Linked DNA regions of Drosophila melanogaster. Changing the gene in region 2 together with the main gene of any one other region gives a genetic interaction. Each region holds a gene or a part of one and is shown on either strand. Other genes may lie near its edges.

Region 1 (9,091 bases), on a different chromosome or scaffold from region 2:
CTGGCGCAGAACTGGGAGAACCTGCTGCACTCCCTGGACCACCTGCACCTGCAGCCGCAGAAGCTGCCCGATACGAATTGCCAGAGGGTACGAACGTGGTGCCTGAGTGGAGCGTCAAGTTTCTACCGCCAAACCCTGTTCTTCTCGTCCCACGAGCTGCCCGAGTTCCGGGCAGTGTTCAACAGCAAGTGCAACAACTACCAGGGAAAGGTGCGAGACTCGAACCTCGTCGAGCACGGAGACATCCGGAACGTTCTGACTCCAATACATCAGGTTTTCCGCCTAATCAATTGCTCCAGTGTGGAGACGACCTTCGACGATCGGTTCCAGTACTTCGTCAAGAATATTATGCCCCAATTCAGTAAGCCCGGTTTCTCGCACTGTATGCTATACGTGCCCAGCTACTTTGACTACGTACGGATACGCAACCATTTCAAGACCGAAATGGTCAGTTTTGTGCAGATAAATGAGTACACCAAGAAAGAAAAGATTTCCCGGGCGAGAGATATATTCTTCCACAGCGGGGCATCTGTTCTGTTGTACTCGGAAAGAGCGCACTTCTTCCGGCGCACGCGGATTAAGGGCATCCGGAACTTGATCATGTACCAGCCGCCCAACTTTCCGCACTTCTATTCCGAGATCATCAATCTGATGCTGAAGACAAATCAAAATCCGCGCGATGGATTTGGGGACGAAATGTCCGTCAGTATCCTGTACACAAAGTACGATCTGCTAAGCTTGAGTAACATTGTGGGCAGTGAGAATGCTGCGAAATTGACTTCTGGTCAAAAGGATTCCTACCTTTTCTCCACCAAAACGTAAATGCTTACACGAGAGCTGACTTTGAAATATGTACATATTTAGTTGTCAATTAGAATATACTAAATGTTAACGCAAGTAAATAGTAATGTATGTGATAACTTTCAGTTGTGGCTCTATTTTTGGACCTAAATACTTTCGTGACGTAGAGATTTTAGGAGGAACTGGCTAGGTGATTGATCTGATGTTAAGGGTGGCGATGTCTTCTCTTTGTTATTACGCAATTTGAAATTATGAAAAAATGAATAATTGGCAAATGGTTGTGTAATAAGAGGCAGCATAAGTAGTGTTTTGCCGATTGATGAAATGATTCAAAATGCATTTGAATTCAATATATTTTGCCTGTTTTTACTTTAATATCCCTTTTTTATAAAGGAAGATTGGCCAGAGCATTATGCAATAAAAGTTATCATTTATAAGGCAATTAAGTGTTAAAAAACATTATTTTGCAGTTTGTATTTGTTTTTAAATGATCACTTCGCTTGATTGCTTGAGATTGCTGGAATCTGGAACCATTACCATATACCGAGTTCCTAAATAGACAATATCCAGCGGTTGACAACCGCATCAAACCCAGATTTGCCAGTCCCAAAATAAATCAAAATTCCTGGCTGCATTGTCATTTATCAACATTTTTAAATATACACATAGGTAGCTTATAAAAGTTCTGGCCTAGACATATAGAGGTAAAATAGTAGCCAAATGCATATTTATGGGGGTCTCTGTGAAAAGTCGTAATAGCTGCTGCACAAGGCGGATGGCTGATGGCGGATATCATACGGCAGAAACGTGTGCGGAGAGCGCTCTTGCCAATATCTGAGAGTCCGAGTCCGTAGGGGCATTACAAGCCTATAAATAAAAATAGTCGACGGCTGCCAGTCTCTGCTGAAATTGGGGAAAAAGGCAGAAAAGCCAAACGAAGAACTAGGGGTTCGCAGGCCGACTGGTGGATGCTCTTTCAGCTGTTAATGGATCGAGATCAACTAGATTGAGGAAATGAGTATTTGGGCTGGGATTTGGGATCTGTTGTATTTGCCAAGGACAAGTAAAATATTCAAAGGGCAGCAGCTATGGATAACTATGATGGATTCTAGCTCGGCGAAAGTGGAATGCGTCAGTGCCAGTGCCATCATTCCCAACCATCCCCCCACCAAAGGACCCAAGTCTTGACCCACTTGAAGTGGCTGACACCGAAGGTAGAAACACCTTTGAGTGACAAACCCTTCCACACAACCCAGCATAATTTCCCCAGATTGGTTTAAAAATACCACTTTCTAAATATTAGACAAACACACGTGCATTTCTCGGAATACGTCTGCACTCACACTCCCAGGCACATCCACATCCACAACCACATCCACGTCCACAAGTGATCTCGCATCGCCACATTGCCATTGCTCTAGACTTTCGTGGCCGTGCGCTCCCGCGGATCCGAGATCGGGCGGCCATATGTACGTATGTATGTATGTGGATGGGGAGCTCGTGTGCCCGTGGTATTGTGGTATTCCCACCTATACCTAGCCACATATACGAATCTCTGGGGGACCACGGTGAATCTGCCTCGTCGAGGTACGAACGAGCTGCACGAGCAGATCTGAACCGCCACCATTCGAATTCGGATCGCATTGGATTGGATTGGATAGGTGGTAAGTGCTCAAAAGTTTGTGCGTGCTAAAAGTATTTTCCCGGGCCAAAATAGAGAGTGTATGTAGTTTTGGGAATTTTGCCAAAATATATGAATTTTGTAATTCAAATAGACACTCTCATCGCGCAGCGTTCTCCTTGCGTTCAGTTGCCGTTGATCGTTATAATAGCGCGATCTTTGTGTCTTGGTCTTCCGACTGAAATAAATTATTATATAATAACGGAATTTTTGCTAGGAATAATAATTGTAAGTTTTGTTGATTTTCTGCAACAACTGCAAAGCGAATACGCCAGTGAATTACTCCAAACTGCCAAAACCATTGGGTAAAGCAAATAAACCCCCCTAAAAACTATCGAAAATTCGTCCGCGCGCTTTCAAAAGAAAAGAAAACCTGGAAACCAAAAGTTATTGAAATGCCTACATATCTACATACGAACATGCTTCTTACACTCGAAAACCGTGCTTCAAACTCAAAGTGTTTGCCCCCAGTTTACTTTGCCACCCTGGAGCTCGTCCAGAGCTCGTAGTTCGATCTATCTACATACATGAAATATCCGTAAGGGCGACGATTCGGCGGTGACCTCGACCTCCGGATGGTATCGAAAATTTGAATGTCACCAATACGAGAGCACTCCACGAATAGATTCGATCCGACACAGATGTAAAGTTTTCCAAGTGCCCGAGATCTATGTATCTGTGATTGAAAATCTGGTTATGCAACCACAACCGCAACCGTGGCGAATATATTCGTACCCAAATTCGAAAGATCCATGTCTTGTACTGTACCTGTAGCCCTTGTAACAAGCATAGAACACACGATCTCTTGAACTCCTTAACTACCCGCATTCATAGCTTAATGGTGGTTACATCGGTTAGTGAATTTGACTGCCTTTCAGTTGCAAAAGATCCCTGAAACCAACAGACAGTTTTACAGAAACGTGTAGCTCTATAAGTACATTCAGCCCAGGATCATGGCCCAATCATTTGTACTTATTTTTGAACCCACCCACCCACTATTATACAACCCATCGGTGGACTTGTCAATCAGAAATTCGGATTCGGGGACGTGGGAAGCAGCATATCGCACAAGTGTCGACATCCATTAGCATGGAGATATCTCTGCTCGCAATATCATAAGCCGTTAAATCGTACATATAACCGCGCAGAATAGGAATCTTTCTCCCTACGATCGTCTCTCTGTATATGTACTCAAACTTATTTATGTGGTCCTAGTACATATCTTTATATCTACGAGTGTTCAGAATTGAGCTGTATTTTTCGGGTGCTAGGACTCTATTTTTAGCCCATCTCGGACAGAGGCGATTTTTTGCTCCATAATGCACACACACATGTGTATTTTAGGGGTATATATAGGCTATATGCATGAAGATGTTTTCGAAACACACGTCTCTGTGCTCAAAATATAAGTAGTATTCGAGCGCATTGATTGACAGTTTTTTGAAAACTAACGCCTTTTGTGGGCGGGCAACTGGTGGAAACCTCGTTATCAGAAGTTACGTATGTAATTCTGTGACGTAGCCAGCGTAATATTCAAGTATTATGCGAGTTGGCTGCCGTTCAAAATTCCCCGTATGGCCTGATTCTAGTGTCTGGTCGCGAAAAAGATTAAAATTAAAATTTAAAAATGTCGCTGCTGGCGAATACCTGGCACCCAGATCTATTTATTGCGGGCTCTTGATCTCGATCTCATTAATTTGAGCACAAAATGCGCGAAAAGAATAGTGTTGCTTGTTGTGTGGCCAAAATAGTGCGGATGTCTCTGTCGCTTGCCAAGTGAAAATATGACAATGTATAAATAAGTTTAAGCATTCGTGATAAGGATTTCAGTTCGATTTACACCACAGAAGGGAGTAAAAACATTTGGTTTTCGATCGCAATAACAACTTGATTTATAAGGTTAGAGGTATTTTCCAATAAAGAAACTTTCCAGCACAGCTGAATTCCTTCGAAACTTTGATTAGTTTTAAATTCCTATATCACCTCAGCTATCGGTATTACTGAACACGGAAACTCAACAGTTAGCCATCGCAGTTGAGATTCTCAGTTATCGATAACGCCGGCTATCGCAGTTTAGTAGCACAAATTGAACGCGTCAGTAGAAGCTGAGCTAAAAGGTGGGATAATTATCTAATAATTGCCAGGACTGAGAATTCTTAAAAGTTGGAGAAAGAGGCAGCTCTGCACAAATAACGTAACTCGGACGATATACGTTTTCAGTCAGCCCTGTCTTGTGCGAATAATGTCGTGTCATAGTGAGGCAGAACGGCGATAGGCAGTAAATCGCGGCTTGGTACTTAGTGCAATAGTTATCAGCACACATATTCAGAAAAAAGCGCCATGGGTTATATTATATAGAGAGTCAGTGGAAAAAAGTACTTAACACACGCAGTGCGTCGTTTAGCGAGGTTAACGTAGGAGCAGAGCACCCGTATTACGGACCAGATCCCCCAATCCCCCGCAGAAACTGAGAATAGAAAAACGAAAACTGCGTCTGTTGTGCGAAGTGACACGTGTGTGAATCTCATAAGCGGAGCGATTTGGCCAGGGTAACAGCCCATCATAGTAATGCAATATTCCAGCATATTCTCCGACCCGATCCGCACAATCCGATCCTAAGTTGGCGCGATAACTGCGCGACTTTAGTGGCCAGTCCGGGCCCGATCAGAAGTGCCTGAAATCGGGGAATTAGCATGTAGCACCTGTGTATGTGCGTATGTTGGAAAGTACCCGTGAGCCGAGTGCCGTGCACATGCACATGTACGACCACTTATTCAGAACCTAATGAGGTAGTTTTAACTGCAAACGTACATGCCAGTACAGATGTATGTGCATACATACGTGCATACACACTTGCTATTCCAGTCAGTCGTTGAATAGAGCCCAGAAAACGGCAAAATAGCTAAATAGCCCTGCCAGAGAATTAAAATGAGCCCCTTGCCTTGTGTCTACTTTCAAATCCCCACCTGAATCGCCCCGGAATCTGGACACAGGCCACTGAACGAAGAGGATAACGAATCAAGATGGAAGACGGTCACTCGAAAACCGTCGAACAGTCCCTCAACTTCTTCGGAACGGACCCCGAGCGCGGCTTAACCCTCGACCAGATCAAGGCTAACCAGAAGAAATACGGACCCAATGGTGAGAGTCGCGCGTAATTCCCCTCCACATTCCGAGACCGAATCGACTGACGTGTTTGTTTTCTTATCGTTACAGAGTTGCCGACTGAGGAAGGTGCGAACACAACCCGAGCAGATCCCCTGCCCCCCACCCCCACTTCACTGTATGCATACATTATAATAACGATTGTATTCCACAGGAAAGAGCATCTGGCAGCTGGTCTTGGAGCAGTTCGACGATCTGCTGGTGAAGATTCTGCTGTTGGCAGCCATCATCTCATTTGTAAGTGCAGCAGCACAAAGAAACCCACCCTCAAAAACTTAGTTACGACCACACTCTTCCCCTCTGCAATCCCCAGGTTCTCGCCCTGTTTGAGGAACACGAGGAAACGTTCACTGCATTTGTAGAGCCCCTAGTTATTTTACTTATCCTGATAGCCAACGCCGTGGTGGGAGTATGGCAGGAGCGTAACGCCGAGTCGGCCATTGAGGCCCTCAAGGAGTACGAGCCTGAGATGGGCAAGGTGGTGCGCCAGGACAAGTCCGGCATCCAGAAGGTGCGCGCGAAAGAGATCGTGCCCGGTGACCTGGTTGAGGTGTCTGTCGGTGACAAGATCCCTGCCGATATCCGTATCACCCACATCTACTCGACCACCCTTAGGATCGATCAGTCCATCCTCACCGGTGAGTCGGTCTCCGTCATCAAGCACACCGATGCCATCCCCGATCCCCGCGCCGTCAACCAGGACAAGAAGAACATCCTGTTCTCCGGCACCAACGTCGCAGCCGGCAAGGCCCGTGGCGTCGTCATCGGCACTGGCCTGAGCACCGCCATCGGCAAGATCCGTACTGAGATGTCCGAGACCGAGGAGATCAAGACCCCCCTGCAGCAGAAACTGGACGAGTTCGGTGAGCAGCTGTCCAAGGTCATTTCCGTCATTTGCGTTGCCGTGTGGGCCATCAACATCGGCCACTTCAACGACCCCGCTCACGGAGGCTCCTGGATCAAGGGTGCCATCTACTACTTCAAGATCGCCGTCGCTCTGGCTGTGGCTGCCATCCCCGAGGGTCTGCCCGCCGTCATCACCACCTGTCTGGCTCTGGGCACCCGCCGCATGGCCAAGAAGAATGCCATCGTCCGCTCCCTGCCCTCCGTGGAGACCCTGGGCTGCACATCTGTCATCTGCTCTGATAAGACCGGCACACTCACCACCAACCAAATGTCCGTTTCCCGCATGTTCATCTTCGACAAGGTTGAAGGCAACGACAGCAGCTTCCTCGAATTCGAGATGACCGGCTCCACCTACGAGCCCATCGGCGAGGTCTTCCTCAACGGTCAGCGCATCAAGGCTGCTGACTACGATACCCTGCAGGAACTGTCCACCATCTGCATCATGTGCAACGACTCCGCCATTGATTACAATGAGTTCAAGCAGGCCTTCGAGAAGGTCGGCGAAGCCACTGAGACCGCCCTGATTGTGCTGGCTGAGAAACTGAACAGCTTCAGCGTGAACAAGTCTGGCCTGGACCGCCGCTCGGCTGCCATCGCCTGCCGCGGTGAGATCGAAACCAAGTGGAAGAAGGAATTCACCCTGGAGTTCTCTCGCGATCGTAAATCCATGTCCTCGTACTGCACCCCCCTGAAGGCTTCCCGCCTGGGCACTGGCCCCAAGTTGTTCGTGAAGGGCGCCCCCGAGGGTGTTCTAGAGCGTTGCACACACGCCCGCGTTGGCACCACCAAGGTTCCTCTGACCTCGGCCCTGAAGGCCAAGATCCTCGCCCTGACCGGCCAGTACGGTACTGGACGCGACACCCTTCGCTGCCTGGCTCTGGCCGTTGCCGATAGCCCCATGAAGCCCGACGAGATGGATCTGGGCGACTCCACCAAGTTCTACCAGTATGAGGTTAACCTGACCTTCGTCGGTGTTGTGGGCATGTTGGATCCCCCCCGTAAGGAAGTTTTCGATTCCATTGTCCGCTGCCGTGCCGCCGGTATTCGTGTTATTGTGATCACCGGCGACAACAAGGCCACTGCCGAGGCTATCTGCCGCAGAATCGGTGTATTCGCCGAGGATGAGGACACCACTGGCAAGTCCTACTCGGGTCGTGAATTCGACGACCTTTCCCCCACCGAACAAAAGGCTGCCGTCGCCCGCTCCCGCCTCTTCTCCCGCGTGGAGCCCCAGCACAAGTCCAAGATTGTTGAGTTCCTGCAGAGCATGAACGAAATCTCCGCTATGACTGGTGATGGTGTGAACGACGCCCCCGCCCTGAAGAAGGCTGAGATCGGTATTGCCATGGGCTCTGGTACCGCCGTCGCCAAGTCTGCCGCCGAAATGGTGCTGGCTGACGACAACTTCTCCTCCATCGTGTCTGCCGTTGAAGAAGGTCGCGCTATCTACAACAACATGAAACAGTTCATCCGCTACCTCATCTCTTCGAACATTGGTGAGGTCGTCTCCATCTTCCTTACTGCTGCCCTTGGCCTGCCCGAGGCTCTGATTCCCGTCCAGCTGCTCTGGGTTAACTTGGTACGTCTTGATGGGGTATTTACTACTTAAAATGGTTAGTAATAGGTACTTGGTCACAGGTTACTGATGGTCTCCCAGCCACCGCTCTGGGCTTCAACCCCCCTGATCTGGATATCATGGAGAAGCCCCCCAGGAAGGCCGATGAGGGTCTCATTTCCGGATGGTTGTTCTTCCGGTGGGTTACTCAAAAAGCACACATCCTTTAATCGGTATTAACTTGGCCTCAATCGAACTTTTAGTTACATGGCTATTGGATTCTATGTCGGCGCTGCCACCGTCGGTGCCGCCGCCTGGTGGTTCGTGTTCTCTGATGAGGGACCCAAACTGTCCTACTGGCAGCTGACCCACCATCTGTCCTGCTTGGGCGGTGGCGACGAGTTCAAGGGCGTTGACTGCAAGATCTTCAGCGACCCCCATGCGATGACCATGGCTCTGTCCGTGCTGGTGACAATCGAAATGTTGAACGCAATGAACAGGTGAGTGAGATAACGAATGATGGACGGCACGATAGATACGAACCGATCGCCTTTGTTTAAACAGCTTGTCCGAGAACCAGTCGCTGATTACCATGCCCCCATGGTGCAACCTGTGGCTGATTGGATCAATGGCACTCTCCTTCACTCTTCACTTTGTTATTCTTTACGTCGATGTCCTCTCCGTAAGTATTTGGCAATGATAAGCCCTTCTGCGCCGCGGAAACTAATGCCAGTATCGTTTTACCCACAGACCGTCTTCCAAGTGACACCGTTGTCTGCAGAAGAATGGATAACTGTGATGAAATTCTCAATTCCTGTAGTTTTATTAGATGAGACATTGAAGTTTGTTGCTAGAAAAATCGCAGATGGTGAGAGTCCTATATATAAGATGCATGGGATTGTGTTAATGTGGGCTGTCTTCTTTGGCCTGCTGTACGCTATGATGCTTTAAGAATATAATTATAATCCATAAGCCCAACTTCA
Region 2 (6,370 bases):
CTCAGAGGGGGGGGGCGGGGGTGGGCGCTTATGACGTTTGTTTTGCTTTGACGCACTCGCAGCCAGCTGACCATCGATGGTTCGCCTTTAACCCCGAATTAAGCTCGATTCACTGGGCACACCACACTGCCCACCTTTAAGGCCTCGATTCGTGCAAATATTCCGCCCATGTTGCAACATTGCTTTATTAAAGTTTACTTATTGCCAATGTATACACATTTTCGACGCTGTAAGACATTACCGCTTTTCTAGTAATACTGGTCGGCATTATAGCCCACCCCCGTCCGATTCAATATTTCCTGTTTGCCAAAGGCCCAAAAATAAGGCACAATATTAAAAGTGTTTTTTCAAACGAAAAACATTTTCGAAATTCATAAATTAAGGCAAAAATTGCTTGGGCGCGCAGCGGAATTGTTTAAAAACGCTCGGAACGAGAATGAAGGCGAAAATAGATTCGTCCAGACATAGACGAACTGATCAAGTTCCCTACGAATAACGAAAACATTTTGCCCCAAGCTAACCCACTGCCCTTCCGCAGTCGCCGTTTTTTCGATTTCCCCCCTGGAAGCCATATTCTAAATTTAAATGGGGAAAAACAAAATAGAAATCATCGAAAATACATTTCGAAATAGAGCTAGAACAAGCCGTGGCAAAATCAAAAACAAGCAACACAAACAGAAACACAAAATGCCAAGAACAACGAGATGAGCAGGGAAAAGCAACATTATTTTCAACAATATTTTGTTGTTGCTCTCCCTGCTGAAAGTTTATAGAATCGGAACATACGTATAGACAGTCTATGTATATCTAAATTCATATACGATATATATATATATATATAGACATGGTTTCGTGATCGAAACGTTTTATTCGTCTTTCGTTCTTGGCGAAATTCGAAAATTACTTTCAACCAAAGTTGCAAGGCGTTTCGTCTACGGGGCGTATGCGTGATTTTCAGTAGGTGTGTTGCAGCGTCATTCGCACCGTTTACCATTATATATAGAAATTTATATATATATACATATATATATATATATATATATGTGTATGTGTGTATTTGGCCATATTGCGTATATACATTATATTTAGACTGACGATGCCAAAGTAATTCAGCTAAAACATTGATATTAACAAGACGGATATAGGCTATATGTTCGTACGATTCGCTTGGAACACATTATTCGAAAGCTTAAAGTTATGTCAGCGGCCAACATGCAAGATAAATAGCCGAACAACATGAAACAGATCGTTAAAATGGTTTTTCTAGATCAAGTCCAAAGTGGCACGGTCTAAGAAAAACCTTTTAAATGAACACAAACGGAATAATTACTTTAAGACCTGGAAATGATATTGGATGGATTAAATAGTAATAATCTTCAAATTAAATAAGTTAAGAATCTATGGGATTCCCCAATTTTATCTAATATATTTTCAGCAATATATGTATGTAAGGGTTATTAACCTATTTTTCTTAAAAACTGCAGTCTTCTAAAGAAAACAGTAATTTGTATTCAGTCAACTCATCGAAATATTAGTTATGTTTATGAGGATAAATGTTCGATAGGAGTTATAAATCTAATCTTTAAAATAACGCTGCATGCACCTATTTTAAGATAATGTTTAGTTTCATTAGTATTTGCTGTTGAAGTAGATTACATTGAAAATGAATATATATTCAATATATGCATATCCCAGCACAAGCTTATTCCCTGGATTTTCCAGAATTAGCATAATATTTTATAGTTTTTTAACCAGGGCTGGCGAAACCAGAGATTGCAGCCAGTCGCCGGCCCTGATTTTTTCATTGCACACCGATTGCACCGCCATCGCATAGCCTCCCAACTGGAGCAACAAAACCTATTTTTATCCATTGCATTGAATTCCAAGCGGCTCCGTTTACACCAGCACACACATCGAACTGCAGATACGATATTGTGAACACCGATGCGGATACAGAGATACAAAGATTCTCCAAGCGGTATTTTTCATAGGGTGGTTTACGGGTCTGCAGTTCCGACGGGGCGGGAGTTACGGGATCGGGATCGCAATCGCAATCGCAATCGCAATCGGATTCGGATTCGGAATCGATTCGGCATGCCACTCGGCTGCGACGATCGTGAGCCGAACACTTTTCGGTATCCATTTCGATTTTGCTTATGGGCTGTGCTCTGCCATGTCAGTTTTGGTGGGATCTATTTTTGGATCTCACGCCCAGATACATAACCCCGGCCCCCGAGCCACTCTCGCTCTCTCTCGCTCTCGCCCGTTCGTGAAGGACGGTGGGCAGGTGGGCGGCTAACGTTTGGCTTTCGGAACATAACGGAACCGAGCCGAACGAGACGATGCGATACGATGCGATCCGATCAACAACGATCCGTATCTGTATCCGTTGGGTGGCTAGCCGCTAGAATATAGTCTGCCGTGGATCGTCGGACCGTTCAGTCTTTTTGTGTCGTTCAGTATCATCCGATTCGTGTGATCGACAGCATAGCCGAATTTTTTTTCTTTTTTTTCTAATTCCTTGAAGGTGAGTGCTTGAAGCGGAGCAACATTCAAAAAGCCAAGAAAAACATCACCATCAACATTGACAACGAGCAACAATGCAAGAACAAGCGGAATGGAAAAACAGAAAACTGCAAAATGCAAAATGCAAATGCTAATGCTAATGCAAAGAAAAACAAATGTGAAATCCTCAGTCCTTTCTCATATGCTATACATATATATATATATATTTATATTTATATGTATGTCTGGACCTGACCAAAATCGTGTGCGTGTGCCCAGAGGATTCAAACATTTTTTTTCAAACAATTTTTTTGCTATTTTTTTTCAAGTGATACAAGTTAACAAGTGTCTAAAACTGCATCGAAATACTTTTCAACATTATTTTGACTTGATTTTGCAATGAATTTTTTTTCACGGATTGGCTTGCCAATTACGTAAGAAGTTGCCGTGTGTGTGTGCGTGTATGCGTGTGTGTGCGTGCCGAAAGCTAAAAATGTATCCCGCAGATACAAGATACATTTCAAAAAAGCTAAAATCGCTCGAAAAGTGCCTGAAAATAGACCACAGCGAGAACAAGAGATCCCGAGAGAGAGAAAAATCACACACACACACGCACACACAGAAAATCATACACTCACACACAGAGAAACAACACGCACACGTCGCCTACGTAAAATAACTGGATAAATGCTCTCCGAACTTTTGGATTTCATATTCGATACGAATATCGTTGCTCCAATTTGACTATTTTTTTTCCGTGAACATATAAACAAATTGTACGGCAAATCATAAATAGCTGCCATATTTCTCGCATCCGAGATTCGTGTATCTATCAACAGGTTTATTTTTAAATCAGTCAGATACTAGATACAGTAGATGCCATCCCACTCGCTCTCATTCTCAGATGTATGCCGAGTGGAGACATCGACTATGCTTAAATTCGTTGTGCATTTCTCGCAGTGTACATAGCCGAAGGTCGTCATTGTCAGAAAATTTTCACGCCTTACCTTCGCTAAGGTGCGCAAATTGCTGGGGCTAAATATACGCCTAGCTCCCTAGCAATTCGTTCTACTAAGCCATATGGCTTTGTAGGTGTGAAAACCCCAAAATATACAACTTCTTCCAAAGGATATAAAATCTATAACGGATCTCCTTTTGACTCATTGTACATTATTTTAGTTCATTGCTAACAGCATAGATAATTTGTTTAACGATTACTTTCAACGCTAGTAGACTTTTTAAAGTTATATATGTACTTTGTGAGGTGTTAATTCTTCGACTTCATTTCAGTAAAAATGTATACATATACATACTATACGGATAGGCTAGCAAATAAATTCTGATTAATTCCTCAAGATGTAGACATGGTTTTTCGTATGATGAAATCTCATAATGTTTACTTAAAGATTCCCAATATGTTATTCAGCATAAAATGTATTTTTAAAATGCCATTACAACGATCAATCATCTGATCAAGTATGCATATGTAAAAGTTACTTCTATACTAACGATTTAACTTTTAGCTTGATTAAAACGAAAACATATCGTAGGAAAGTTTCCATTAACAAAATCAGCTGGCTGAGATCGGTCAGTTGGGAAATGCTATTCTCTCTTTGCTCACTTGAAATCGGATATCAAAGAGAGCAACTAGAAAAGCCACAAAGCAATACAGTTGTCTTTTTCTGGCAGCTAGACGCCCACGCCAAAGTAAATGTGCGAAAGAAAGGCTAAGCGAAGAGAGCGGGAAAATGAGCGTTTGCTGGGGTTGTCCTCCCATATACGGCGTGAACCAATGCTGCGTATACGTAATATGCGGCATATGCCAGCAATATGGCGCATACGCACTGTGGTACCCCGGTGAGATCGTAGGCGTGTGCGAATGGGAGAGAGAGCGACTGATTTATGGAACATATATATATATATATATAAACACATACTTATATGTATATACCTACATATAGCCGTGTATATATAGGGCAATGGAAATGATGTCATCGAACATTTCCATTCACCATTCACCATTCACCATTTGCCTCCAGTTCCAGTTCCTTGAGTTCACCTCTCGATTTCTCTTACTTTCAGTAACCAAAAACACAAATCAAAATGGCTGATGATGAGGTGAGGTGAGTATCTCCAACGGCCCCCTTTCTACCGCCTTTGAGAAACGGTTGATTAACCTTTGACCCTCTTCTTCAGTTAACTATTTTGGGGCATTAATCGCAAGCACTGTTTTGGAAATTGGAAGTGATTTGGACGGGATTAAACCTGACTGGATGTGGATTTAGGTAAGCAAAGCTCCCGAACAATCCAGAAGCTTCAACAGCCCCCCACTTGCAACCACGCAACATGCAACCCAAGCCTTTCTTTGCCTTTCTCTTGCTTTCACAGGATCGCTGCGCTTTGCAACCCTCTGAATCCCAGCCATTTCTTCCTTTCGATCAAGGAGCACAGATAATGATAACTGTCAAGTCTGACTGAAAGCCATGTCTGTTATCGTTAGTGTGTGTCTATGTCTCTGTGCCTTGCTTTGTCCCTTTTTTTGTTATCGTCGCGTTTGTGCCTGGAGAAATTTGAGATCTATTTAAAGTAGTTTAAAATCAATGAAATATTACAACCAATAAAACTTGGCTGACCATTCTTATATAATTTAAATGAGTTTAAAACCTATTTGATTACTTTAAATAATTGTGGATGATTGAGAAATGTTAATAGTTCCTTTGAAGTTTAAGCAATTTTCTCCTAGCCTGGCGTACTTTTTCGATTCCTAGAACTGCAACTAACCAGCAATCATTTAACTTGATTTCAGAAAAAGGCAGCAGCTCCGGCCGCAGCTCCAGCGGCGGCGGCCAAACCGGCGGCTCCGGCAGCAGCCCCGGCGGCCAATGGCAAGGCTGCTCCGGCGGCCAATGGAAAGGCTGCTCCGGCAGCTGCCGCCGCTCCCGCCGGTCCGCCCAAGGATCCCAACGACCCCAAAGTGAAGGCCGAGGAGGTACACTTGTGTACGTGTGTGCCCGTTCAACTTAACGTCCATGTCAAAGTCCAAGTCTCGTGCTGTGCAGTGCTGTGTTCGAATATCATATCTAGTGTTGTGTCCAGTTTTGGATGTGAGCAAACCATGCTGATACCCGGATTGTTCGTTCATTTAATTTGCAGGCTAAGAAGGCTAAACAGGCTGAGATCGAGCGCAAGCGTGCTGAGGTGCGCAAGCGCATGGAGGAAGCCTCCAAGGCCAAGAAGGCCAAGAAGGGTTTCATGACCCCAGAGAGGAAGAAGAAACTCAGGGTAAGTTTCCAGCATATACCAACGCTTTGTATGATCGCCAGCTAATCAAAGCCCTCCACTTGCAGTTGCTGCTGCGTAAGAAAGCCGCTGAGGAGCTGAAGAAAGAACAGGAACGCAAAGCGGCTGAACGTAGACGCATCATCGAAGAACGTTGCGGCAGTCCCAGGAATCTCAGCGATGCCAGCGAAGGTGAGTAGCCTCGGTCCTCGAACCGAATGATTAAGATCCCTGATCAGGCGAGTGGAAATCCCTAGAGGTTTCCCTGCACCTGGTCACGGTTCGAAAGTATAAAGGATGAAAAACCATATAATCGAAATAAACGAAATCAATCAGTAAAACAGATAGGCGGCTTATGCATTCAATATGTTTAAGCCCGCCTGTCGCGAAGCATAAACCAAAATCGATAACTGAAAGTTGAACAAGTGTCATCTATCGCATACATACATACAATTACATAACACACCAACACGAAGACACCAAAAACACACACCAAACACACACAGGATAACCGACCTCCCACATCGGATCACATTGACGTCGCAGAGGAACCATAGTCTTATTATGCCTGAACCACTGTGTGCAA
Region 3 (6,670 bases), on a different chromosome or scaffold from region 2:
GTAGGACATATGCGAGCTGGAGCACTTGCGTAAGCTCTTCATCGGCGGGCTGGCCCCGTACACCACCGAGGAGAACCTGAAGTTGTTCTACGGCCAGTGGGGCAAGGTGGTCGATGTTGTGGTGATGCGCGATGCTGCCACCAAGAGATCTCGCGGCTTCGGCTTCATCACCTACACAAAGTCTCTCATGGTCGACAGGGCCCAGGAGAACCGTCCGCACATCATCGACGGCAAGTGAGTATAGACTTGGTGGGGGATCATATCGTACCAAGAATAGATCTATACCATGAGGCCTTTCGCTTCCAGAACTGTGGAAGCCAAGCGTGCTCTGCCCCGTCCCGAACGCGAATCGCGCGAGACCAATATATCCGTGAAGAAGCTGTTCGTAGGCGGTCTTAAGGATAACCACGATGAGGAATGCCTTCGTGAATACTTCCTCCAATTCGGGAATGTAGTCTCCGTTAAATTGCTTACTGACAAAACCACTGGCAAGCGTCGCGGCTTCGCCTTCGTCGAGTTCGACGACTACGATGCAGTGGATAAGGCTATCCGTAAGCATAAAAGCTAAAATGCTAAATATTAGATTGATATTAATTATGAACCTTCATCCCGTTTAGTTAAAAAGCAACATGCGATTAAGTACGTTCACGTGGACGTCAAGAAGTCCATTTATAACCTGGACAAGAAGGAGAAACAGCAGCCAGGTGGGCTGGCCAACGCCATCAAGCCGTCGCTCAATCAGCAGCAGCAACAGCAGGGTGGCGGACAGCAGCCACCTAATGGCAATATGCAGGCACCTAGCTTTCGACCACCAGTGCCGCCACAACAGGCCATGGGCCCCTACCAACAACAGCCACCACCGGCGCCTATGTCTGCTCCACCACCAAACTTCAACTACTGGGGACCACCTCCGCCGGCTATGCCGCCCTACTACCAGCAGCCACCGCCGCAGCAGATGAACGGCTGGGGTCCATATCCGCCGCCGCAACAAAATGGCTGGAATGCACCACCACCGCCACCACCGGGTGCCCAGCAGTGGCACGCCAACCAGTGGGGTTGTCCTCCACCAGTGCAACAGGTGCCGCCGGTTGGAGCAGTGCCACCACCCATGGGTCACAATGGACCACCGCCGACGGCTCCAGGTAACTGGAACATGCCGCCCCCAGTGCCGGGTGCAGCTCCTCCATCCCACCAGCAGCAGTCTTCGCAACAGCCAACACCACAACCAAATTTCGGCACTGGCTATCAGCAAAACTACGGAGGCGGACCATCCAAGCACAACAATATGAATGCAAACCGCATGAATCCTTACTCGGCAGGTCCGCCCAACAGCTACCGTAGGTATAATCCATTATTAAAGACATGTAATTTTGAACAGCTACTAATTGTAGACACTCCTCAACCACCAGCATATACGGGCTACAACGCTGGACCACTGCCGCCTAATGGAAGCGTTCCGCCGCCAACTGGGGCCAAGGCTGTTGGCGTATCCAATGGCTCCGTGGCCACTGGAGGCAGTGCCAACAGCAAATATCGCCGCTAGATTGGGTGAGTAGCCGTACCCGCCATTAGTCGTTTCTTTTGAATGTGGTCTATGCATAAGAGCTACCTCAAATACGTCTTGCCACGAATATATCCATATACGCATATATTACTCGCCATTGATGCACTACGTCTGAAGTACTTGTTTATGTGTAATTACTAATGTCTAAAATTCTCTTTGATTTAGATGCTCTTTGGGCGGCTAAAGCTCAAGAATCAAGACACTCTTTAGTAAGCTCGTTCATAAGCTAGGCCACACTCGCTTAGAGTTACTAAGCAGGAAACTTAACGCATTGTCTCTCTATCATAGGACAACTAACTACGATTTTACTGTACACTTAAGCTATACCATTGATTACCCTACGATTGACCTAAGCTATGGCAGACTATATATAACTATTTTATACAACGTATTGCGAGGAGCGAGCACTTCTCCAGTTCGAATTACTCTAGACATAATTATGAAACTCTGTATCGTAGAAGAATGCCCAAAATACGATACGAAATTACAACAGGCTCTCTATTTAAATCTAAACCTCTCTCTCTATCTGTAAAACAAGAAGAAGGATTGTGCAATGGTGGAGGATGGAAGAACAATTGCCAATCAAGATCAATTAATTAGACATAAATCACGGAGCTGTAGCCTGAGCTTATTGGCCCAAAACAAGTAGTTTAATCGTAGATGCCTATGTATTACCTAAACCATTCAAATAAGAAGATACGTCCAAACAAAAAAAACACAAGAAACAAGAAACAAGAATATAAGAATCCGGAGCGAAGTCGGATCCCAAATCAAATCAAATCATACGCAGGGCTGGCGGGCGTGGCCTTAACTATTAATGTACACAAGAGATGATATCAAAACAAATGTCAATTTTTACAAGAAGCAAGAATCGGACACTTATATACTGTATTAATGTTAAAGGTTTCTTATCTCGTCGCCCACGATGTTAATTCATATACTACATATATCTCTTCTTATTTGTATATCATGACGAACTCAAAGAAGTGTATATACCCGAAAAAAATGCGAAGAAAATGTATATGCTTTCGGATTAACTAGACTTACGATTTATTCTCGACTCTCTCCTATTATTAAGCTGTTGTGCACGCCAAGGGCTTTGAATTGATCTTTATATATAATGCAGTACTGAAATAAGAGAGGTCTAGTCCACAATTTGCAAGATTCGTTATGCTGCATTATCGAGATACAATTTATCACTTAACCGAACTCTATGAAAACCCATACGCATATTTATTTTAAATAAATACAAATTAAAAACAACACTATGTATTTGTTTTAGCTGACGATATGTAAGTCTCTTTCTCTTTAGCGATAGCATAAACTATATTTAGTTACCGTTATGCCATTCTAGATACAAACAAATATCGCTCTAATTTTAAACATACTCTACTCTACAAAATACTCTTGAGACAAAGTTAATTCGTAAGGTAAGTTAGTAACGGATCTCATCTAGGATAAACTAGAGTTTTTATAAGTGCTCTTAAGTTTCTAACTTATGTGTATCTTGTTATCGAATCTTTATTACGCTTTTCTAAGCAAACAACCTATTTCTTTTCCAAAAAAAAAATAAACCCCCGGAGCAACGCTGGAGTGGCCTATTTCAAAAGACCAAGGCTCAAGTTTCCCATAAACTATGAGGTACGTAGAAGAGGACACGATTTATTTTATGTGTTGAAAAGCAAGAAACCAATAAAAAAGAGCTGCCAAAATCGAAGCAATCAGTGTTTTTATTCCAAGCGAACATGTTGGGAGCCAACACGTTGGAGGCGACACCAAAACCATGGGCAGGCAGTGCTCCATGCTCCACTTTGGCGATCCGTAATCATTCCGAAGCTTTTCCACAGGCAAACAGTCGCCTGCCATCCGCCAACGCGATTAGACATTTGAAGGGAAACACTTTTTCATTGAACGCACAGTGAGTACTCACGCAGAGTGAAACAAAGGATTGAGTGTCGTAATCGGATTAACAAAACAAGTGTGTGACATATGCAGATACAGATACTTTGCTTGTTCCTCAAATTTCTGCAAGCTCAGCTCTGGCTCGAGTTGCTCAAGTTCAATGTTCCTTGCTCATTGGCAAATAGTCAATCAATTGGACTTTATTTTCGATGAAATCAGTTCGTTAATTGGTCAGAACTGAGAAGCAAAAGTAAGTCCAGTGATTTGCAAGGTCAACTGTGAATTGCACTTCCGCCAATTCAAGTAGATTGTATCTGCTTTTGGTCCACTTTCATTCGCGATGCATAAACATTGCATCTTGGACACTGCATCACGTCATTGTTTCTAGTTTCGTCGGCATAATTAAACAAACACATGTGGAAGTATATATTGCATTGTATACATAGATATATATGTGTGCAACATGTGGAATGCACTGCAGCAGCATCCCACTCTCGGATATTCCTGGAAGCTCCATTCCGCGAGATCGCGTATACATTTCTCAATTGCCAGATACATAGCTGCGCATTTGACTTGATGTTCAGCGGCACAAAAGCGACGATTAAGCACATCTTGCTTGTGCTACCCAAAACGGAAGCGACCGACCGATCCTGATAAGCGGCGGTGGGGCCAAGTCGGGCTGGAACCTGATAAGCCAACTGTGTCGTTGGGCAACCAATGATGTGCCATATATGCCATATAGCACATGTACTAAGATTGAGCATAGAACTGGGGCGACATCTTGAAATGATTACGAAAATTCGGCTTGAGTTTAGCCTGTGTGTGTGTTTAGCAATAGGATTAAGGTCAGCTTTAATCAGGTATATTCGCATTAATGGGAGCATCTGCATATATAGATGATTTCATAAACGATTTGAACTGCTCAACATGTGTTCAACATGCCCCAAATTCTGAAATATTCAAACATATTTCAAATTTGCGGTTGCAAAAAGCGAGAAAAATGCTTATTTGCAGCAGGCAGCAGGAAATGAAAAGCAAACATTGAAAATTCTGAGATTTTATCCATTCCCCCGACTTTGTTTCTATTTTAAAAACTCCAGATCTGCAGTAGTCATCTTCCGCCATCAATGAGTTGGCTTTGTTGTTCCACAAGATCTAAAGATCCATAAATAAAATTGCCCATAAAAGGAAATGCATCTGTATCTGCGCGCCACATTCGCGTTGACCTTTTGAACCCTGCAAGATTTTTGCGGCTTCTTCAATTGTTTTCAATGAGCAAAAAGACGCCGCACGAGATGTGCATGTAAAACCACCCCGTTGTTTGGTGGTTACAAGATCGCCAGTGGAGTACAGTAACGACGCAGCGCACACGGTACAGTCGCAAACCAATCCTTGAAACGGAAGTTGGGCCAGGGCCACAGCTAATCTCAATGTAATTTGGGTTTTCACAATCGCAATGACTTGATAATGTACTCTATTTATAAAGGCACTTTTAGTTCCAAATATATAGTTTAAATATAAAGAGAAGAAAAAGGTGTTTTAAAGATGCTTTACTTGCAATCCCTGTAGTTGAGATCGCCATTCGAGATGCGCTCCCTTTGGCTGCTGCTCGGCTTGGGCCTGCTGGCTGTGAGCCACGTCCAGGCCTCTACGGAGTTTTCCGAAGATCTGCTGGATGAGGACCTCGACCTGTCCGACATCGATGAGAACGAAGAGGAGTTCCTGCGCCTGCTGGAGGAGAAGAACAAGGCATGTGGCCGCAAGTCAAACCACAAATCACACTTAATGCACTAACTGAATTCCATTCGCAGATCAAGGATATTGAGCGCGAGAATGAGATTGCCACCAAGCTGGCCGAAGTGCAGCACAATCTACTCAATCCCGTTGTCGAGGTGGATCTGTGCGAAACGATGAGCTGCGGAGCCGGTCGCATCTGCCAGATGCACGACGAGAAGCCCAAATGCGTGTGCATTCCGGAGTGCCCGGAGGAGGTGGACACTCGCCGCCTGGTCTGCACCAATACCAACGAGACCTGGCCGTCGGACTGCTCTGTGTATCAGCAGCGCTGCTGGTGCGACAGCGGCGAGCCCGGCTGCACCAATCCGGACAACGCGCACATGCACATCGACTACTACGGCGCTTGCCACGAGCCCAGGAGCTGCGAGGGCGAGGACCTGAAGGACTTCCCCAGGCGCATGCGCGACTGGCTGTTCAACGTGATGCGCGACCTGGCCGAGCGCGACGAGCTGACCGAGCACTACATGCAGATGGAGCTGGAGGCGGAGACCAACAACTCGCGTCGCTGGTCGAACGCCGCCGTGTGGAAGTGGTGCGACCTGGACGGCGATACCGATCGCTCCGTCTCGCGCCACGAGCTCTTCCCCATCCGTGCTCCGCTGGTCAGTCTCGAGCACTGCATCGCACCCTTCCTCGAGTCCTGCGACTCCAACAAGGACCATCGCATCACCCTGGTGGAGTGGGGCGCCTGCCTGGAGCTGGATCCCGAGGACCTCAAGGAGCGTTGCGACGACGTCCAGCGGGCTCAGCCCCATCTTCTGGGTTAGGACACAGCCCATTTTCCATATCCACTTCTGTAGTATGCAATAGGTAGTTACTACTTGCTTCCTTAATCCGAAAAATGTCTAATTTAGCAGTTAATTGTGTAAATGCTCGCTATTCAATGAAATATATAACAACTTCTTTGAAATAATACGCATTTTGAAAAACGTCAGGTCAGTCTATTCATTATTATCTTTCGGATGAAAAGCTACAGTTGTGATATTTTGCTCTAGGCATTTACACGTTTATTGGGCTTACAAATACATTGGGTTCGAGCTGCTAAATGCCCTGATTAAAACTGAACTTTAAGCGATACTACTGCACTTTTCTCACAATTATGAAAAACTTGTACTTCTTACAGCTGAAATTAATTACCATCTATGTAGTTGCAATTCTTTACATTCATCGACACAAGCGCAAACATCTCGTCTAGTTTTTTTTTTTTTTTTTTTTTTTTTTGGAAATAACATGATTGGCGTTTTTATTATAGTTTTTTTTATTAAATTTATTCGTGTAATTACTTTGCTCTAAATTAAGTTTTGTTTTTGTTTCATACTCAACCTCGCCAAGGATGCGTGCGGGTAAATACGTTTTGTGTGTTTGTATTTTTTGTTTGTATGTATGTGAGTGTTGGGGAGATGCTAG
Region 4 (8,804 bases), on a different chromosome or scaffold from region 2:
GTCGCATAATCGTAGGCCCACTGTACTTGTATCTAGTAGCCTGCACTTTTGATTTGTGTGTTCGTAGATGGATAGTTTGTAGATTGATTTTGATCGCGGACCAATTAGAGGGAAGCATCGATGTAATTGTGTATTTGTTTGACTCAAACGTTTTTTATTTATTATTTGTATCCAAACTAAGCAATAAAGCAATCAACTTAAAAACATAAATCCCTATAAACTTGTCACATTTATTTTGTTTATTCCACCTGCTGCAGACGAGGTGAGCAAAGGTAAGGAAAAGTACAAAACCATCGCCCAGGAACTGGAGTACGCCGATCTCAACAACTACTAAGGGAATGAAATCCACTTCATGGGGAGATGAGCAGCAATCACTATGATGAAGACAAATGGAGTCCGAACGCATTCGACGTCCGAATTACAAATTATTTTTAGCATAACACTTCTTCGCCTAAGCATTCCCAAAAAAAAAACAACTTTCTTACATAAGAGCAAGAGTTTTACAATAAAGTAAAAAATACATTTTTAGCAATTACTATTGAAATTTATATGGAGCCTAAAGTTAAAACGAGTTGTGTAACGAAAAGAAACGCTGCCATTTTCCTTGAAACTAAAATTCCAGCTCGAAAAAGTATGTGTAATATTTTGAATACAAAACCCCAGAAAGCCCACCACTCAATATCGTTAATCAGCATCTTCAAATAAAAAACTCAGTTACGCTTAAGCCAGAGTCAATTTTTCTCAACTTTCTGTTGCTTGTGTGTTTTTATGGCAGTTCGCGAAGTGTATCTACAAAATTTCTATGGCCTTTGTATATGTTTAAACAACAAGAATAGGAGATATATTATTAGAATATATAAACGAAGACATATAAATTAAATTTACACATTTGTCATAGCTTTTGTAATTCTATGAAGCGTGCAAAACAAATATAACAATGTATGTATTTTTCTTTTTCAACTCAATATTTTTACGATCAATAAACTGAAATCATTCTTTTGCATATAAAAAATTTCATGGATTTTTTATTTAAACGGTGGGTTGCATTAGTTAAATAATAAAAATATGCACTGATCATGAATCGAATATAAAGGACATAAAGTGTCCTGTTGGTTTCAATCTGCCGGAATATTGTGTATCCTTATTAAAAGTTAATATTGAAATCAAAATCAAATCATGCTTATATCCCAAAACTTATAGGATGTTTTTATTTGTGTTGGAATAACCATATTTGTCACATGTGTGATATTTTAACTCAACATTAAATATTCTTTGGAGCTACATATATAAAAAAAGTTTAAAATAAGCTTAAAGAAGAAGGGTTTTGAAAAATCGAATTTGAAAACTGAATACGTTTGCTCGCCAATTAGTTGTTTTTGAACAGTTTTGAAAATATGAAGTTTCAAACATTTTCCTAAATCAAGAAGAGCTATAAATCAACTAAAATTTGAAGTTATAAAAGTCTATAAATAAAGTGCACAATATTATTGACTTATGTAGGTTTGGCTTTTAAGTAAAATTTATTGCTGAACGAGAATAAAAAGATCGGGAGTACATATAAGTGTAATCCAGAGACTATGAGACATTTGGTGGAATCTTCTTGATATATAATAGTATTAAAGAAGATGTTACGTCACAGAAATATTGAAAGAAGAAGAAAATTGAACTGGATTTTGAGATGAATTGCTAAATGGATTTAGCGAGGTCGGACATATAAATAAAACCCACCATATATATTTATCTTTTAAATATACCTATATAAAAATATACATATATCTATAGAATTTCTTAGTTTAGAGTTTTGATAACAATTTTTCCATATCGTTACTTAATTGGTTATTAAAATAAATAAATTATAGATTTTATTCTTCAGTTATATAGTAAGTTAAGTGGTTTTGTTTTAGCAAAAAATCGAACGGGGACAATTAACACACAAGAAAATCGGATCAATTGCCTTGCATTCGAGACTTTCGAAAGCAAAAGAACGGCAGGAAAACGCTGGCCGATCAAAATTCCAAATATTTCTCAATATTTTTTTACCGAGCGAAAATAGATTTTCATCTTGTTGGACTTTTGCTCTTGCTGCTTGTGGCTATTTTTGGCCGTGTATCTGACGGATACACGCACACACACAGACAGCGAGAGTGCTGTGAGTAAAATATAAATTGAATTTAGATTTAAGAAGCAGAAAGAAAAGCGCATAAATTTCACGAGAATGCAGCCCAAAAGAGAGAGCATCGTATGAAGCAGCTTTTGGGGGAAATTTCGAGGGAAATTTTCGAGATCGCCGAGCAAAGTTGCGAAAGCGCCATTCCACATATACATTTATTAATGGGAAATTTTTGAGGCGAGAAATTATTCAATACCGCGTTGGTGTGTGCCCTCAGTGTGTGTGAGTTTTTCCGATTTTCCGAGTGGCAGTGTGCGTGTGCGTTGGATCTTGGGGTCGCTTTCTGGGCTAAGCAACTTGGTCAGCATCAGTGTTCTCGGGGTTTCGACAGCGTATAGTGTGTTTGAAACGCTAAGGTTGGTCACGCCAGGATTTTCACCCGACAAGAATTAACTCAAAATAAATATAATTAAATCGCTCGCCTTTGCTGCTAACCAAATTGGTATTTTCAACTGGATTTCGAGTGGATAACAAAATTGTGATAAGTGCATGGCATTCAAAATTATAAATTTTGAATTTTCCCCAAACGGGAAAAAAAAGGAAAACCTTGTTAAACTTAAATAAAATGTGCATATGTATATGTGTCAATTAGCCTGGATATAAAGTTCTACAAAAAGTTAAATGAGTGATCCAAATGTAATGGAAGTGAAAATTGCTATAACTAAAAAAATGAATATCTCTAAAAAACTTAAAATGAACGATCTAAACTACTTGAAAATGGAGATCTTATGATCATTTTTCGGATATTTTCAAAATTCGCTTATAAGGAATTTTGTAACTAAATCTGACGGCACCAATACCATCCAATAAATATCTGTGTGTGTGTGAGAGAATTTTTTTTTGCACACACACACATGAGCTTCATTCGGAAAGCTCTACACGAATGGGACACATATACATATGCACCTTACACACTTATGGCACGCACAATTTTCACACACACAATCACACTCGACCGATAAAGTTTTCCTCGAAGAAAATTCTTTAAAATTAACTGCAGACAGACACCTGCCTGTCACACACACACAGACATACGCATTTATTTTTAACTCTGCCTGAAATTTATACGAAAAAGCTTTTCCGTCTAGCTTTCTGTGATCTCAGAAAACGAAGGCAGTCGAGAACTATAGGTATTTATCCTTGAGATTGTTTTCGAGAGAGATATTTTGGAAAATATTAGAGACGTAGACGATTCCCAGATGCGGATACATATGGTATCTATCTGGGAATATATATATTCAAGGCATAGCCACCCACACAGAATTGTAGATTTCAGAGCGAATATTTCTAGCCATTCGTGAATGCGTCCGAAGGCCGCAAAATTTGCCATCTTTAAGATACATATTCGAACTGATTGAAAGCCCAAGTACCTTTGGCAATCACCAAAAATTTTAATGATGTGAAAACTAAGTAGCTATTTAACATATTATAAGTTATTTAAAGTCTTTAGAAAGAAATCCTTTTTACCTCATAAATCACATATTAAACATTGCTTATGTTTTTTTGGGTACAAAACACACATGAGTATCGCAAGACCTCCAAAAGATCAGCAACTACAACATAAATGACTTTGCCCCACTTTGGGTGGTAGCAACATAGATACACGAATTCGAATACGAATACGCCCACACACCAAATGACCCCAAAGAATTGAATACTTTTCAAATTGCAATCGGTGGCGAGCTATGTACATATATATGTGGGGTATTTCGAAATAATAGGGGGAAACTCTAGAATTACATTTAGCACACAATGTCCAAAAAAGCATTTCTCCTATGCGTGTGTGTGCGAGTGGACTGGATATTTTTTTCTCACATGCAAAAGCATATAAAGTTTATTTTTAACCCCACCGAATCGTGCAGCAAATAAACATATAAACATATAGCTCACCGACGGATCCGGATTCGGATTTTGAGTGGGCGTTTTGAAAATGGAAAATGAAAATTACGTGAGATCTTTTGAGAATGCTCGGCGTAGCCGCCAAACAAAATGTGTTTACATTTAATTCTCAAATTTATTGCACGAACACATATGCACAGCATATAGATATATACAATTTAATTATACCTATGGATAACCTATAGAATGCGCCTGGATCGTTTAAATAAACCGATTTTGTCTTGCAGCGGAAACATAAAAATTCTAGAAGTCACAGTAAAGAAACAAAAATGTATAGTCAAAAGAAAAATCCAAGTTCAAAAAATCTGTAATTTATGAAAGGAAATAAACATTGGAATATCTTAGGACCAACGTATATATGTTATAATATATTATTAAGCGGTTCAAAGCTACAATTAGATTTAAATAAAAAAGTCATACATTTTATTAATTATATAATATTATTATTATTATATTATAGTATATATAATATTCTATGCCTTATGAAAATTGCTCCTTAAAAATTGCACATTAAGGATTCAGTTATTCAGCTTACTCATTTGTATTATTTGGCACAGTGCTTTTTTCCAGTTTTCTTCCCTTGTAAGTCAAAAACAAAAACACAAACACCATGGACGCCATCAAGAAGAAGATGCAAGCGATGAAGCTTGAGAAGGATAACGCCATTGACAAGGCCGACACCTGCGAGAACCAAGCCAAGGATGCCAACTCCCGCGCCGACAAACTGAACGAGGAGGTGCGCGATCTGGAGAAGAAGTTCGTCCAGGTGGAGATCGATCTGGTTACCGCCAAGGAGCAGCTGGAGAAGGCCAACACCGAGCTGGAGGAGAAGGAGAAACTCCTGACCGCCACCGAGTCCGAGGTGGCCACCCAGAACCGCAAGGTGCAACAGATTGAGGAGGATCTGGAGAAGTCCGAGGAGCGCTCGACCACCGCCCAACAGAAGCTGCTGGAGGCCACCCAGTCGGCCGATGAGAACAACCGCATGTGCAAGGTGCTGGAGAACCGTTCCCAGCAGGATGAGGAGCGCATGGACCAGCTGACCAACCAGTTGAAGGAGGCCCGCATGCTGGCTGAGGATGCCGATACCAAGTCCGACGAGGTCTCCCGCAAGCTGGCCTTCGTTGAAGACGAGCTGGAGGTGGCTGAGGATCGTGTCCGCTCCGGCGAGTCCAAGATCATGGAGCTGGAGGAGGAGCTGAAGGTGGGTCCTCAAGAGAAATCCTTCTGTTCTCAAACCACTATTCATGGTGTATTCCCAACTAGGTTGTCGGCAACTCCCTGAAGTCCCTGGAGGTGTCCGAGGAGAAGGCCAACCAGCGCGTGGAGGAGTTCAAGCGCGAGATGAAGACCCTGTCCATCAAGTTGAAGGAGGCCGAGCAGCGCGCCGAGCACGCCGAGAAGCAAGTGAAGCGCCTGCAGAAGGAGGTCGACAGGCTAGAGGGTATGTATCCAACTTCCTACGCCCCTGGCACATTCACTCAGCCATTTTCCGCGGAGGTATCTCTCCACGGGACACCGGAGATGCTGTCCACCGGAAGTGATCCGCCTCGAACGGCCGGATCGCTGGCTTCAACTAATGCTCGCATTGTATTTATCGCCATAAGGATATTAATAATTGTACTTAGTACTCTGCTTTCATTAATTGACGTTCCACATTCACACATCTCGCTCGCTCGCCCTTTTTTTTGAATATCTCTCTATATATATATTTGTATAAATGAACAACAAACAAATGCTTTTTGCAGACCGTCTCTTCAATGAGAAGGAAAAATACAAAGCAATCTGCGACGATTTGGACCAGACATTTGCCGAACTTACTGGATATTAAAAAAGATCACAAACAGAACTCACACAATGCCCTTGCCTCCCCCCCCCCCCAACCGCCCCTTGCCCAACTCCCCCAAAAAAAGGAACACTCTCAGTACATCCCGAATCCCACACAGTTTATTATATATATATATATATATTCTATATTATATTTTTGGAACGATTCCCCCAACAGTTTCAGTGTATTTACCACCCAGCCCAACACGCCACACTTATCTATACACTGTAAATAATCTGTTTAGTCCCGCTTGAATGTGGCCACACCCACACGACCAGTTCCCTACGCCAGTACACTGTAAAAATAAGTTCAGATCAAGCCAAACCAAGTTGCAACTGTAGTTAATACAGGTGAATTTATCAATGTAAATATTGTTGTTTGTATGCCAGATTCTTACCCGTTGTGATGTGGCATGACCTCTTGACCCGTCTCGCCTTCGCACTCTATCTCAGTCTATGTCTCTATGTCTCTCTCTCTCTCTCTCTCTCTATCGTCTCGTCGATCATCAGTGGCTTTCGTTCGAGCCAATTTCGCCCAGGCCTTGGTCGAGGGATTCTCTCAAGGATTGCTGCAACGATTGGTTGGATAGATCATGTCCACATCCCGTAGAGCACCCCATAGATAGTCCTGTCCCCCACCTCCCCTGAAAACCCACGCACAGAACCGCTGACTAACCCAAAAGATCAAAAGATAGAAACGCCTGCCAGAACAGCGCGCCACTAATCCTAATCAATAACTCCATAAACTTGGTACACATGGTGTAAAGTTTGAGTGTTTTTCGTTTCAATTCCAATGTTAAAAAACCATATTTTTGAATATTTTCTAACGCATTTCCAACCACCATTTGCACTCCGCAGACGAGTTGGGCATCAACAAGGACAGGTACAAGTCCCTGGCCGACGAGATGGACTCCACATTCGCCGAATTGGCTGGCTACTAAGTTGGCCAACAGTCCCATTATACCAAATCCACACCAGCAGCGGAGGAAGATGGAGACGACGACGAGATGGAGAACTCTACTAATTGTAAACGAATATCTCAAATTGATTTGGCCAACACGAAGATCGGCGGCCGCAGATACCAAGAACAACAACCATTGTGTATGCAATTCTTTATAAATCTATATATTTCATAATAAATAAATAACAACAACAAACAGATCAACAACAGCAACAAAGCCAACGAGCATAGAAAGCAAATGGAAATTCTTTTGTTTTATAAAAAATAAAATTATCTAAAGTCAAAAGTAGCAGAATGTATAAAGTAAACAAAACGAAAACAAGAACACGAATTTTGTATTTTTAAAATCAATGTTTAAAAATATTAAGAAGCGCTTGCAGTCAGGCAATAAGAGCGAGAGAGCTAGAGAGAGTGCCCAGGAAAGAGACGGGGCTAAATTTAAAATTTTAAGATCGCGCTGCCTGCTTTACTTTCAGTTTATATCTTACAATTACACCACAAACAAACAAAAAAACACCCACAAAAAAAGTATAAAAAAATTTATAAAAACTTTGCTAAAAAAAAATTATATGTTTGATGTTTGCTTTCAATGATGCACAAAACCGAATTTCTTTGCCCTTCAGCGAATCGCGCTGAAGTTCACTACATTTTTGGCGGATATGCAAAGTAGTCTTCAGTTTTTTCCACCGATTTCTCATACTCTTGGGAAACCCCATGGATGCTGGGCCGAAATAACCAAGTCCGAAGTGCGTCACCACTTCATCGGAGATGGATCACGATCCGCAAATCGAGGCCTTCATTGCAACATCTTTAGCATCCGCGCTAATTGTCAAAGCAATGAATAATGAAAGTTCAGTTATCTGTATATATATGGCATATATACACATCCTCAGGGTGATTTCCAGATATGAATTGTAGATGTGGGCAGCTCGCCGTTTTGACCATCAATAAGTGAGTTAAGGCCGCGTTCGACATGTGGGTCTGTTGCTCTCTTGGCCAAATGGACTTTCTTGTAAACTGAACTCGAATTGAATTTCCATTTCTCCTCGCTCTTCTCGCGACGTTGGCCATAAAATAGTTATTAAATCGTTAAGTGGTGTGTTAAATTACCCACTTAAAGCGCCAGTCATTATTTACATAATTTACATTATGGTATATGGAAGCTGGCAGATATGTTCATCTTATGAAAAAAAAAGAAAGAGTCATTTCGAGTTTAAAAAAAAAAACTTTTGTTTTTAGCTTTTAAAAAGAAATATATAGAGAACGGTTGATATTTTAAAAGCTGTTATCTTTAAGATAGAAGTTGAAATATGAATGATTATTCCATGTTTATATTGCCCGGGGAGGAACTAGAAAATCGCCTAAGTTACTTTCTTAGTTAACCGCATTCAGAAAGTCATTCCTCACAAGTCGAAGAACACCCAAATGAACATGGCACATCCAGCACACCAAACTCCATTTCATTCAAGTTTAAGCCAGCAGTTTTCGCTTCAATTGACAGCCGCGTCAATTACCTAAGTCTGGGCCAATTTGGTTGGAGTGCAAACAAACAGTGGGTCGGACCGGGCCGGTCCACAAAAGCGGCGAGCGGAGCAGTAGAGATGCCGATGAAAAGCCCAATGACTTACATTTGCCCACCACAGCCAAGCGAAGGAGAAAGTGAAATTTTGCATTTCTCGGCGGCCGGCAGCAACAACAATGGGTCTTCGGTCTGGTTGGGTCTGGTCTTGGCCATTGCCATTGGCATGGTATTGAAGCGGTGCGACGGTAGCAGGGAAGAGGGGAAGGAAGAGGCGATCAGCGAGCGGAGCGGACCAGGCCCAAAGTCAAGCGCAGAGCTTCAGTCGTGGTTTTCAGCTCGACCCAAGCGAACGGACGTCTTTGAACAGCGGACGCGGCATAAACCGCACGGAAAACGCAACGAAATCGAAAGTGTTCACCACGCGA

Evidence for each region.
Region 1: of wupA (region 2) and SERCA, changing one suppresses a phenotype caused by changing the other (phenotypic suppression), as found in Drosophila melanogaster (one study listed by BioGRID).
Region 3: of wupA (region 2) and SPARC, changing one suppresses a phenotype caused by changing the other (phenotypic suppression), as found in Drosophila melanogaster (one study listed by BioGRID).
Region 4: of wupA (region 2) and Tm2, changing one suppresses a phenotype caused by changing the other (phenotypic suppression), as found in Drosophila melanogaster (one study listed by BioGRID).

Annotation. Positions count from the first base shown.
Region 1 is NT_033778.4:23,929,199-23,938,289, reverse strand, and holds the start of SERCA (Sarco/endoplasmic reticulum Ca(2+)-ATPase), read left to right. Parts: upstream 1-2,405; 5' UTR 2,406-2,465; intron 2,466-2,609; exon of another isoform or gene 2,610-2,710; intron 2,711-4,205; exon of another isoform or gene 4,206-4,381; intron 4,382-4,549; exon of another isoform or gene 4,550-4,599; intron 4,600-4,845; exon of another isoform or gene 4,846-5,475; 5' UTR 5,476-5,505; coding exon 5,506-5,623; intron 5,624-5,698; coding exon 5,699-5,716; intron 5,717-5,801; coding exon 5,802-5,884; intron 5,885-5,960; coding exon 5,961-8,132; intron 8,133-8,191; coding exon 8,192-8,307; intron 8,308-8,371; coding exon 8,372-8,608; intron 8,609-8,672; coding exon 8,673-8,790; intron 8,791-8,858; coding exon 8,859-9,059; 3' UTR 9,060-9,091. Other genes in the region: CG3735 (uncharacterized protein), read left to right, coding at 1-822. UniProt on the Drosophila melanogaster protein: This magnesium-dependent enzyme catalyzes the hydrolysis of ATP coupled with the transport of calcium.
Region 2 is NC_004354.4:18,112,864-18,119,233, reverse strand, and holds the start of wupA (wings up A), read left to right. Parts: upstream 1-2,408; 5' UTR 2,409-2,527; intron 2,528-4,499; exon of another isoform or gene 4,500-4,587; 5' UTR 4,588-4,608; coding exon 4,609-4,623; exon of another isoform or gene 4,624-4,628; intron 4,629-4,701; exon of another isoform or gene 4,702-4,790; intron 4,791-5,311; coding exon 5,312-5,494; exon of another isoform or gene 5,495-5,504; intron 5,505-5,658; coding exon 5,659-5,787; intron 5,788-5,852; coding exon 5,853-5,976; intron 5,977-6,370. UniProt on the Drosophila melanogaster protein: Troponin I is the ATPase inhibitory subunit of troponin in the thin filament regulatory complex. Involved in the development and maintenance of muscle and nervous system. May also be involved in the cytoskeletal apparatus.
Region 3 is NT_033777.3:26,868,738-26,875,407, reverse strand, and holds SPARC (secreted protein, acidic, cysteine-rich), read left to right. Parts: upstream 1-3,412; 5' UTR 3,413-3,482; intron 3,483-4,840; exon of another isoform or gene 4,841-4,898; intron 4,899-5,035; 5' UTR 5,036-5,053; coding exon 5,054-5,215; intron 5,216-5,277; coding exon 5,278-6,030; 3' UTR 6,031-6,170; downstream 6,171-6,670. Other genes in the region: Rb97D (ribonuclear protein at 97D), read left to right, coding at 5-234, 307-551, 618-1,337, 1,392-1,543.
Region 4 is NT_033777.3:15,307,774-15,316,577, forward strand, and holds Tm2 (tropomyosin 2), read left to right. Parts: upstream 1-2,471; 5' UTR 2,472-2,526; intron 2,527-2,903; exon of another isoform or gene 2,904-3,300; intron 3,301-4,261; exon of another isoform or gene 4,262-4,421; intron 4,422-4,602; exon of another isoform or gene 4,603-4,626; 5' UTR 4,627-4,679; coding exon 4,680-5,273; intron 5,274-5,335; coding exon 5,336-5,513; intron 5,514-5,817; coding exon 5,818-5,900; 3' UTR 5,901-6,247; intron 6,248-6,754; coding exon of another isoform or gene 6,755-6,837; 3' UTR 6,838-7,424; downstream 7,425-8,804. UniProt on the Drosophila melanogaster protein: Tropomyosin, in association with the troponin complex, plays a central role in the calcium dependent regulation of muscle contraction. May also regulate motor systems required to maintain nuclear integrity and apico-basal polarity during embryogenesis.